Linked DNA regions of Schizosaccharomyces pombe. The protein of the gene in region 1 purifies or fractionates together with the protein of each later gene. This does not show direct contact. Each region holds a gene or a part of one and is shown on either strand. Other genes may lie near its edges.

Region 1 (7,468 bases):
CTAATGCTTTTAAATTCAATGACTCAAGCAAAGGATAATGAGGAAAAATATGATTTATATTGAAGCGTTAAAATTCGTAAAAGAAAGACATATTTGTTACGATTGCACGAGCATGCATGAGCCACCCTAATATTAATCCAGGATACAATACCTGTCGATTACTTCGAAACACTATTAGCGATTTCCATGAGAGCTTGCTTAGCCTCTATATCGGGGAAAACAGACAATGAGCTCTTGGCATTCTCAACATATGTTTTCAAAATGTCATTATTCTTTTGCAAAACTTGGGCGTCAGGAGATACAGGCTTATGGGCCAGTTGCAGCGATAAGCCTAGAAATTTTCCATAATTGAAACACGCATCATTAATGTATTGTGATGAGTTATTCAATATGCTTGCGCATAAACATGCCTTTGCTGGCATAAAGGCTGATTGCAGAAGGATGGTTCGTTCGTTTGACAAACCAACAGAGCCATTTTGTCGGCTTCCGAAGTGCCCTTCAACTAAGTTTGCAATAACAGAAGCCATAATTTCTGTAATAGCGTTGTTTTCTAAATGTGCTAAATCAACAGACGCCTTTCCGAGTAAATAATCTCCAACCAACGTTGCAAGTTTAATCTGTTCGTTGCTTTGTTCTTCTCCAATATTAATATGAATTATATTGGCAGCATGAATCAATTCTGTTACACGGGCAAGTTGTTTGTACCTTTGAAATAGTTGCTGACTCGGTGGATCCCCATTTACTGATGCTCTAGACATTAGAAGTACAAGAAGCGGATGAAAAAAACGAGTTGAAGATTTTCTGTATGGCTTCGTAATTTCATCTAATAAAGGATTATTATCTGTCCACGTATTAATTTGACCATTTAAAGAATCCATTTCTTCTGTAAGCATTTTTAATAAGTCAGAATGCCAACGGGAATCTCGTGATAAAACCCCTACAGCTTTTAGCAGAATGGAAGACCAGGAACCAGGTTTTTTTAAAGATAATAGAGAGCTTATTGCAGAAGGCCTTTTCAGCAAACTAGCGAACGGAAAGCTCATCCTTCATACAATAAGTGATGATTTCACACTTGAGTAAAAAGATGACAAAGGCCTTGTAGAGGTATAGTAGGGTATCAGTAATTTACAACGCTAATGAAACGAGAGACAAAAAATAGTGGGATGCTTTGATTGCTACTATGTTTTCATTTTTGGAGTTCTTTAACTACGCCTGTGTCTTGTCAGTTTTAGCTAATTATTTCAAAGTCACAGGTTACCTCAGGAAGAGTCAGAATAGTAAGTTCAAGGTAGTAAAAAAACAGAATATACAAGTAGTAAAGGTAGCATTAGTCAAAGTGTGTGTTTCTATTAAATGTTTTACTGAAGTTAATTTGTTATCAACCCGTGAATATATAAGGATTTTTCTATAGATTTTTTTAAGGTAAACACTGTTCAAATGAAGTTTCGAATCAAAGAGTACATTCAACAATAACTACCGATATATGGAGAAAACAATTAGCCAAAAAAACTTAAATATTGTAGGAAATGAAATTGCATTTATTTCTTGCATAACGTAAAGTTGAATCAAGCTGATTTGTTAAACCAACAAGCAAAAGGAGTAGCAGTGAATTTTAAATTCCCCTTGAACGAAGGATTGATCTCACAGCATTCAGCTGAAAGGAACCCCATTCCAAGACATCGTTGCGTAAGTCATTTAAGGCTTTTGCATGTTGAATGCGATGTTGAACAAAGTTATAAGTCGCCTCAAAATTAGGAGAAGTATCACGACTCATAAATAACTCAGATGCAGAGTAAATGGCAGAGATAGCAGCACGTTTCGTGTACCATTGAAAATCGGCTGACTTATCTTGCGCGAGGTAAAGAATCTCATCTGACAGTTCAGCCAGAGAGGATAATGATTTTCGCAAGTTTGAAGGGTATGTACAAATTGCAATCATCTGCGGAAGATGCTGAACAATATCCCTATTTCCTTGCAGACGAGACCAAATAAGCTGGACAACACGTCCAGATGTTTCGGGGATAGTGGTCAAATGAGGCTTTAATGAACTAAGAGCGTAGCGCTGCTTCAGGAAAAAGTACGAAATCAAATCCATTGGACCAGAAGGAAAGAGGGCCTTGGAGAGATTACTATAGCCAAGGGCCTGACCACCTTGCACGATTGCATCTTCCGTGAACCCCAGTTGAGGAACATGTTCAAGAGCATTTTCTAAAATTAAAGCCTTCTTTCCGGATATCTTAGAGGTTTCGTAATTTTCACTATGATAGCCTCTCCTTCCTAGAGCGGAAATGACCGTTTTGGAGATGCATTTATGAAGTCCCAGGTTTTTTGTTGTCAACTGACAAGCACTTCTTAAAGTCAACATGTAAAGAAATAAAAAAAAGAGTCAGAAAAATAAACAAAATAGAAAGAAAGGGTCTTTCACTAAGCAATTCGAAGGAAAGAGATATGGGTAAAGAGGTGTTACGAGTTATTCAAATCAGCGAGTTAGATAAAGTATATAGTAAGATTGGAAGATGACTTCTAAAAATAATTATAATATTTGAAGTATATTAAATTGTGAGAACTGCAAAGTAAACGAACTGATAGAGTGCGTGACGGATGCTACTGTAGAAGGAAAGCGAAATCGCTACTCAATAACTGTGCTACCCACCTGAAAGTACAAAGAGTCGTTCTGACAATAATTTGTGTGACAATAGCAAATAATTTTCAAACAGATAAATTGAAAATAAAAATAGGGTGATATTAAGCTAGACGGTGTGTTTGAGAGGCGGTCTTAATCCTTGCTCGATAAAAACAGAAGATACTTCAAAATACTTGGCTCGTAATGTCGCCTCCACCAGCAGAATCTCATATGTATGTTCCCCGAATGCCAGAAAAGCTTCAAGACACTTATGTACACTATGCAAGGGCTATTCGCTAACTAGATTTTGCTTACAGCATTTTATTAATACAACAAGGAGTATGTCATTAGATTGTAGGATAATTAAAGATTTCACTAACTCCTAATCAGTCGGATCCAAAAACTCGTATATGGAGCGACCATTGCAGCTTGCGTTCTGCTATTGAGTGTATGAATATTATCTTTCGTCCTCCTTGTAGAGGATGCGCTACTTATTGGAAATCATTTGTTAACGTGATATTAGATATAGTCGGTGTTTACCAAACAAATCAAGGTACGTACGATTTTTGTTTTTCTTTTTTGGTTGGAAATTTCAGTGACGATGAACTATGTTTTCCCAAGTCCCGGATTGAAAACTCAGCTTTACCGTATGAAAACTTGCATTAGACTGACGTTTATGTTTAGCAGTCAGCGAAAAGGAATCTATTGATGTCTCAAGGTTTTTCAACTTTTTCGACGAGATCTATGATTGCGTTCCTTTGGTATACGATCGGCATTTTCGTGCATATAGTAAGCAGTTTCTCTCATTTATCAGTTTGATTTTGATACTAATAAATTCTACTATTAGTTCCCCATGAAAAGCAATGGTTGTTACACCATGCTCAAGAATATCTCACAGCTGCTAGACAGATCCCTTAAAAATATCGAACACCATATTATGCTACTCATTGCTATGCTTTAAATTTCAAAATCAAAGAAAAAATAGAACTAAGTTTTTCTAAATTAAAATCTTTATCAATGCACTAGGAATGGCATTTTAGCAGCTGCTTTTCACCTTTGGAATCAGCAACCAATATTCTAAGAGGTTCAAATTCTATTGTATCATGCATTAGCTATATTCTATCTTTAACAATTATTTTTCTATTCTTTTTTTATAAAATTTAATTGTTCTAATAAATGGCATTTGTCTCTTAACTTTTAAACCCAATTGCAAATTTTTTTTTTACTTGTCATGTTTTTTCCTCGTGCAAGACAAAGGACCAATTCCATCCGTTTTGCCAGCCGCTATTGTATTGTTTTGCCCTTTTTTTTAATTTCCAGTGCTGGGAAACTGTAAAACAAACAGCATAGCCACTTCTAAGCCCTCGTTTGAAGTAGTCAAACCGGAAGAAACAAACTTTTGTACTTGCTAGACACTCGATCTTTGCTGACATTTCTTTATATATATATATTTATTTATAGTTTTTTTTTGTATCGCTTTCATCTTCGCCCTCGCTCCTTCCAGTTTTGCTACACATTATAAGGTATATATATCATGTCGGTATACTTGCCGAGCAACGTTCTCGGGTTATAGAAGAATAGCCCTAGTATAGTGGAGCTAAATCACATAATGTTGTGTATTTTGACCCATTTTTGTCACGGAAACCGCTTGGCCAGTTACTTTTTCAATTCGTACCAGGACGAATTAGTCACAATAAAGCGAATGCATATTCATTGTTTCACAAACTAGCAATACAAGATAATTGTCTAGGCATTATAGATTTGCTACCTTGAGTTTTGTGTACTTTGCTTCTCAATTTTACTCTCCAAAGATAAATATCCATTGCTTCTGCAAAGAGTTAGTCAAGTACTTGATGACTGCAAAACAATTAATAACAAGAGCGTGTTTTTATATTTTATACTGTCTGTTTAAGGTTTAATTGAATCCAATAATTCAACTAAGAATAACTTGATCCACATGTTTACCTTTCTTTTTGTTTAATAAATATTATCAGATGTGATTTTCCTGTTTGCTAACTGCAAGCGAAGCTACTTTTTTCATTATATTTCGTTATTAGCGTATAAAGACATTGTAAAGTATTTGCAGCGATATCTAAGGAGGATTGCGAAGGGGCTTAGAACATGATGATTCATGCGAGGCGTCTGCGTCACGCTTCTGGACTTATGCTTAACCCTTCATATATATAGCGATTGTTGCCTGCCGCTTACTTTTCTCCTTAACCAAGCACACATTAACGCCATCGAACCCTAGAACCAGTAAAGTGATCTGAAGAGGGAAAAGCAGCAAAACGATCGTAAATACGTTTGTTTAAGAATTTGCTACTTTTTGTGGTTTTCTGTCTAGTTATTTATTGCGATATCCACATTGCCTTTAGTGCTTGTAATCACACTGTAAGACGTGAGGCTTCGCAATCGACATTGAGTTAAATACATTCTTTTTCTCATTGTTTATTTTTCTTTTTAATCTATCCATATAGCTCATTTTGCCTAACAGTTATCTGATTTGGCTAATTTGCAATTTCTTTTTTAATCCAGTACATACAGATTTGTATCTATCAATTGATTGTTTGAGAAGTTCGGTCTATTTGGTTAGCTTGTTGTACGAATATTTCATTTCCTTTTGTTTCTCTCCTTTCTATACTGTACATTGAAACAAGATGTTAATGAAACAAACCTTCTTGTACTTTTTGCTCACTTGCGTCGTATCCGCTCAGTTTAACGGTTATGTTCCTCCTGAGCAAAATGGTGGTGATATCGTCGTTCCCAAAGATTTTTACGAGAAATTTGGGGAGGATTTCATCCGTGAGCAAGAGGAAAGCTCTGCTCCTCTTATGAATCCCGTTCCCGAGCGTGATGAAGCTGAGGCTCCTCATCACCCCAAGGGTCATCACGAGTTTAATGATGACTTTGAAGATGATACTGCCTTAGAACACCCTGGATTTAAAGACAAGCTTGACTCTTTCCTTCAGCCTGCTCGTGATTTCCTTCACACCGTTTCTGATCGTCTCGACAATATCTTTGACGATGATGAGGATGAACACGTTCGCGAGAAGCGCCCTCATGACTCAGCTGATGAGGATGCTCCCCGCAGAAAGCACGGTAAATGCAAAGGAAAAGGAAAGCACCATAAGGGTAAACATGCTAAGGGAAAGGGAAAGAAGTCTCACCCTAAACCCGAGGATGACTCTGTTTTCTTTGATGACGAGCGTCCCAAGCATCATGAATTTGACGATGAGGATCGAGAGTTCCCTGCTCATCACGAGCCTGGTGAGCACATGCCTCCTCCTCCTATGCACCACAAGCCCGGTGAGCACATGCCTCCTCCTCCTATGCACCACGAACCTGGAGAGCACATGCCTCCTCCTCCTATGCACCACGAACCTGGAGAGCACATGCCTCCTCCTCCTATGCACCACGAACCTGGAGAGCACATGCCTCCTCCTCCTATGCACCACGAACCTGGAGAGCACATGCCTCCTCCTCCTATGCATCACGAGCCTGGAGAGCACATGCCTCCTCCTCCTATGCACCACGAACCTGGAGAGCACATGCCTCCTCCTCCTATGCACCACGAACCTGGAGAGCACATGCCTCCTCCTCCTATGCATCACGAGCCTGGAGAGCACATGCCTCCTCCTCCTATGCATCACGAGCCTGGAGAGCACATGCCTCCTCCTCCTTTCAAACACCATGAGCTTGAGGAGCATGAAGGTCCTGAGCATCATCGTGGACCTGAGGACAAGGAACACCATAAGGGACCCAAGGATAAGGAGCACCATAAGGGACCTAAGGATAAGGAGCACCATAAGGGACCTAAGGATAAGGAGCACCATAAGGGACCTAAGGATAAGGAGCACCACAAGGGACCTAAGGACAAGGAGCACCACAAGGGACCTAAGGACAAGGAGCACCATCAAGGACCTAAGGAGAAGCACAACGAACGTCCTGAGCAAAACATGCAAAGTTCTCATGAGCTTTTGGTCATTGAGGCTTTCGCTGACCTCATCAATTCTGTTCCTGTTGAAGAAATTGCCGAAGAGTTTTCTCGCTTTTTAGACACTCTTGGTATTGAATACTATGGTAACATTCCTGTACATATTCAAGAAAATGCCCCAAAGGATTCATCAATTCCCCCCCTATTTGAATTCGACGATGATTTGGAGTTGAGTGATCTCACTCCTGAACAATTTGCCTACCTTGAAATGCTCAAGGCTGAAGGTATTGATCCTATGACTGCTTTCCGTGACCAGAGTCATCCTGCTAAGCCATCTAATGCTCAACCTGCTGATTCTTCACGTCCCTACGCTGTTTTTTCACAAGAAGAGAATGGTGAACATGTAAATTTAAAGGCTTTCCCTGATCACACTCTTCGCGTTAAAGATTCCAAACCTGAATCACTTGGTATTGACACTGTTAAGCAATACACCGGTTACTTAGATGTCGAAGATGACAGACATCTTTTCTTCTGGTTCTTTGAATCTAGAAATGATCCCGAGAATGATCCCGTCGTGTTGTGGTTGAACGGTGGTCCTGGTTGCTCTTCCCTTACTGGTTTGTTCATGGAATTAGGTCCTTCTTCAATCAACATTGAGACTCTTAAACCCGAATATAACCCTCACAGTTGGAACTCCAATGCTTCAGTTATCTTTTTGGATCAACCTATCAACACGGGTTTCAGCAACGGAGATGACTCGGTTCTTGACACTGTTACGGCTGGTAAGGATGTTTATGCATTCTTGAACCTTTTCTTTGCCAAGTTCCCTCAGTACGCTCATTTGGACTTTCACATTGCTGGTGAATCCTATGCTGGCCATTACATCCCCCAGTTTGCCAAGGAAATTATGG
Region 2 (4,801 bases), 2.5 Mb from region 1:
AAGAGATGAATGACAAGAGGGGATCTTGCAGCACTGTAGTTAAAAGAAGGAGGGTTTAATGATTTTTGGTTGTAATTGAACAGATGTAGTGAATATGAATAAAAATACAAACCATGTATATAGTCTATTTTTCAATACTCTACTATTTTTTCCCTTTTTACTTTGCTTGTATCATTACAAAGTGATATAGTTCGTATACTTGAAAATTATTGAGAGTTTGGTACGATTGGTTGAGACATTGCCTCAAAAAAGCGCAACACTTTCAATTCCAATACCGATTCGAGCGCTACTTTTTTTTTTATTATTATTAGTGACTCATTACTCACAAGTAACTAAGGTACTAGTACGGAAACCCTTCTTCCTCTTCCCTAACCCACTTTTCCATTCGGCCACTTTTGGCTCTCGCTTCTGCCCATTTCGTTTTCTCCTGTCCTTTTCCTTTTTATCTACCCTTTTTCGGTTATATATATCCGCCATTGCTTACTGAGACAGTTTTTTTTTTTTTTTTTTTTTTTTTTTTAACCGCTTATAAATTGCTCGTCCTCATTTTCTTTTTCTCCCATAATCTATCTCCTGCTATCTTTTACACTTGCCATCACGCTCGGCTCTTACCCATACCTTTACGTCCATGGAAGGGTTATTGGGGTGCCTTGGATAGCGCTAAACTTCCTCATGATTTCCTATCCCCTCGTCCCCCCAACTTTGTCACTCACTTCCATTTTTACATCATCTGCGCTTACTGTCCCCATATACGATAAAGGGCGCTTGTGTCGCCCATGCAAATCCATATTCGACACATTCAAGCTTAAATTTCCGTACTGCGCAAAGTTGTCGTCGCTTTTCGATATGCTGTAAATAGCGTAAGCACGGTAAAATGTGTTAAATTGAGTTTCAAGATTTTGGCGATGAGAGAGATGCGAAATGCGACATAACGAGTTATAAGAGGAAAACAAGGCAAAAAAATAAATAATAGCGTACTCAATGTCGTCTCATGATCATAATCGTATATGTAAACAACTTGGTTTTATGTATCTCGTTCCAACACTGTTTCGATAGTCTTTTTCAGTTATAGTCTAGTTACAAAAAAAGAGAGAAAAGAAAAGAAATCAAAACAAAACAAAATTAAAAGCAATTGCAATAAAAATTTCCAACTTATTCTCTACCACCCAATTGATTTTTTATACACACATTCATAATCTTTCTACGATTTATCTGTTTGTTCAATTGAACCATATGCATAGTCAAGTTCCTATAATACTCTGTCGTCCTGCCAACATAAAATTTCACATACATTGTCCCGTAAAATTCCACTCTTTGTTTTGCTTTTATGACACGTCTATCCTAATCCCTGTGCTTTCTTTGTTCGGAATTTCACCTCCTTTTACTCTTTTGCCTACCATTTGTGCGTGTCTCAAATAACCTATTTAGTGTGCCGATATCACATACCAAATCTATTCCTTATACTGTAGTTGTAGAAACTCATTTATTAAAGTATATTTACGACATTTCGTTGAGATTCCTTGTTTGTTTTGGTAGAAAGGAAATCCCCATCTCATCGAAATTTTCCCCAAAATTTAAACAAGCACTCTTGCACTGCAATTCCATATTTTTTCCTTCCAAAAATTTTTTCGCCTTTTCCTTTGTTTTCTTTTGCCTTTTCTTTTATGGTAATTCTTTGATTTCTGCCTTACTTTACGTAGTGTACTCACATTTTATTTATTAAGTTGGGTTTTCTTTCGGAGTTCAAGATACCGGAGTACAGTGCTGTGATTTAAATTTTCGCCCACCACACATTCCTTCCTTCGCAAACCACAAAACCTATAAATTTAAAAAAATCTCGAAAAATATCATAAAAGCCCAAGTTTTTAAAATTCTGAAAACGCCATGCCTTCCACGGATCTTAAGAAGCAAGCTGATGCCGCCGTTGAGAGCGATGTAAATACCAACAACGAGGCTGTTGAGTCTTCTACCAAGGAGGAGTCTTCCAACACTCCTTCCACCGAAACTCAACCCGAGAAGAAGGCAGAGGAGCCTGAAGCCGCTGCCGAACCCTCCGAGTCTACCTCTACCCCTACTAATGCTAGTTCGGTTGCCACTCCCTCTGGCACTGCTCCCACCAGTGCTTCCTTGTACGTTGGTGAGCTCGATCCCTCCGTCACTGAGGCTATGCTTTTTGAGCTGTTTAACAGTATTGGACCCGTTGCAAGTATTCGTGTTTGCCGTGATGCCGTTACTCGCCGTTCTTTGGGTTATGCCTATGTCAACTTCCACAATATGGAAGATGGTGAGAAGGCCTTGGATGAGCTTAACTATACTCTCATCAAAGGACGTCCTTGCCGCATCATGTGGTCTCAACGTGACCCATCCTTGCGTAAAATGGGTACTGGTAACGTTTTCATCAAAAACTTGGATCCTGCCATCGACAACAAGGCTTTACACGACACTTTCTCCGCCTTTGGTAAGATTTTGTCCTGCAAGGTTGCTGTTGATGAGTTAGGTAATGCTAAAGGTTACGGTTTTGTGCATTTTGACTCGGTCGAGTCTGCCAATGCTGCTATCGAGCATGTCAATGGCATGCTTTTGAACGACAAAAAGGTTTATGTCGGTCATCATGTTAGCCGCCGTGAGCGTCAATCCAAGGTTGAGGCTTTGAAGGCAAACTTTACCAACGTCTACATTAAGAACCTTGACACCGAAATTACCGAACAAGAGTTCTCCGACCTCTTTGGTCAATTCGGTGAGATCACCTCTCTCTCTCTTGTCAAGGATCAGAATGACAAACCTCGTGGTTTTGGTTTCGTCAACTATGCCAACCACGAATGTGCTCAAAAGGCCGTTGATGAGCTCAACGACAAGGAGTACAAGGGTAAGAAGCTTTATGTTGGTCGTGCTCAAAAGAAGCATGAGCGCGAAGAGGAGCTTCGTAAGCGTTATGAACAAATGAAGCTTGAGAAGATGAACAAATATCAAGGTGTCAATTTGTTCATTAAAAACTTGCAGGACGAGGTTGACGATGAGCGTCTTAAGGCTGAATTTTCTGCCTTTGGAACCATCACTTCTGCCAAGATCATGACCGATGAGCAAGGCAAGTCTAAGGGTTTCGGTTTCGTTTGCTACACCACTCCTGAGGAGGCCAACAAGGCTGTTACTGAGATGAACCAGCGTATGCTTGCTGGTAAGCCCCTTTACGTTGCTTTGGCTCAACGTAAGGAGGTTCGCCGTAGTCAGTTGGAGGCTCAAATCCAGGCGCGTAACCAATTCCGTTTACAACAACAAGTTGCCGCTGCTGCCGGCATTCCCGCTGTTCAATATGGTGCCACTGGTCCTCTTATTTACGGTCCTGGTGGTTATCCTATTCCTGCTGCCGTCAATGGTCGTGGTATGCCTATGGTTCCTGGACATAATGGCCCTATGCCTATGTATCCTGGCATGCCCACTCAGTTCCCTGCTGGAGGTCCCGCCCCTGGCTATCCCGGTATGAACGCTCGCGGTCCCGTCCCCGCTCAAGGCCGTCCTATGATGATGCCTGGTTCCGTTCCTTCTGCTGGTCCTGCTGAAGCTGAAGCTGTTCCCGCAGTCCCTGGCATGCCTGAAAGATTCACGGCTGCTGATTTGGCTGCCGTTCCAGAGGAAAGCAGGAAGCAGGTCCTTGGTGAGCTTCTTTACCCTAAGGTTTTCGTTCGTGAGGAAAAACTCTCTGGTAAAATTACCGGTATGTTGTTGGAGATGCCTAATTCCGAGTTATTGGAGTTACTTGAGGATGACTCCGCTCTTAATGAAAGAGTCAACGAAGCTATTGGGGTTTTGCAAGAATTCGTTGATCAAGAGCCTGGCTTCACTGAGTAGTGAATGACATTTCTATGAAAGTTTTCACTATTGGAAGAAATAAGGGTTAAGCCTGTTGGAAATTTAGTATAGTTTATTTACTTTTATCTTGACGAATGGGTGTTTATTCGTTTCACAGGGATATTATTTTGCATTTTATGTTTTTTTTTCGAGGACCTTTGTTCCACTTAGCCTATAGTTTCTTGAAATGCAAAATCCGGTTGGATAATTTATATTGAATTGATATATTGCTTCACAGGCGAGTCGTTTTGTTTATTACTGTAAATCAGTAGAAATCTTTCAAGTTAAGATTAGATTTCAGTAGATTATTGAATGCTTTGCTTTTTTTGGGTTAATTTTAGATACTAATATCTATGGCGCTTTGAGTTTTGACAAATTTGATAATATTGTGTTTCATCATGTAGTTTGCTTTTGAAAACATGTACTTGTGGGAGAGCCAGTATTTATAGTCCAGTCATTTTTACTAGTCGGTACTTAAATAATAATGTCACAAATATTTGTAAATGTTCAACACGTTTTATTTATTCCACTAAAATGTAAACAAGGTTTTCACATTGAGTTTTTAAACGTTCAGATGACCAATGAGCATTCCAAACCAAGATATTAATATCTAGATGTTTTAGGAATGTGAGAATACTATCAGGGTCATCACACCGAAGAGCTTTAGAAGGATGAGAAACATAACTTTCTAATCGGGAGGTATGTTTTGAAAGCAAAGTAGAACGGGAAGCAAGGAAAAGATCGTAGTCACTCCATTTTTTAATATCCTCTTCACTAGTGGTCTAATAAAAGTTAATAATCAAATAATTAGCAAATTATGTTTAACATATTTACCTCATCCACTAGAATCATAACTTTCTTTCTTGATTTTGATTCACTTTTTGCTTCTTGGTCCCGAACCAGATCCTTAAATAGAACGTAAAGTGTTGTTCCTATTCCAATTGCAAGTGTTGCT

Evidence for each region. The genes of interacting proteins can lie anywhere in the genome.
Region 2: the proteins of erh1 (region 1) and pabp purify together in Schizosaccharomyces pombe (affinity purification with mass spectrometry, with the first as the bait; one study listed by BioGRID). This does not show direct contact.

Annotation. Positions count from the first base shown.
Region 1 is NC_003424.3:4,062,331-4,069,798, reverse strand, and holds erh1 (protein erh1), read left to right. Parts: upstream 1-2,827; coding exon 2,828-2,856; intron 2,857-2,940; coding exon 2,941-2,962; intron 2,963-2,980; exon of another isoform or gene 2,981-3,013; coding exon 3,014-3,071; exon of another isoform or gene 3,072-3,146; coding exon 3,147-3,176; exon of another isoform or gene 3,177-3,307; coding exon 3,308-3,412; exon of another isoform or gene 3,413-3,470; coding exon 3,471-3,541; downstream 3,542-7,468. Other genes in the region: decaprenyl diphosphate synthase subunit 2 Dlp1, read right to left, coding at 159-1,043; ubiquinone biosynthesis protein Coq9, read right to left, coding at 1,613-2,365; cpy1 (vacuolar carboxypeptidase Y), read left to right, coding at 5,281-7,468.
Region 2 is NC_003424.3:1,540,981-1,545,781, forward strand, and holds pabp (major poly(A) binding protein Pabp/Pab1), read left to right. Parts: upstream 1-1,805; 5' UTR 1,806-1,884; coding exon 1,885-3,846; 3' UTR 3,847-4,241; downstream 4,242-4,801. Other genes in the region: SPOM_SPAC57A7.15C (uncharacterized protein), read right to left, coding at 4,368-4,628, 4,681-4,801. UniProt on the Schizosaccharomyces pombe protein: Binds the poly(A) tail of mRNA. Appears to be an important mediator of the multiple roles of the poly(A) tail in mRNA biogenesis, stability and translation. In the nucleus, involved in both mRNA cleavage and polyadenylation.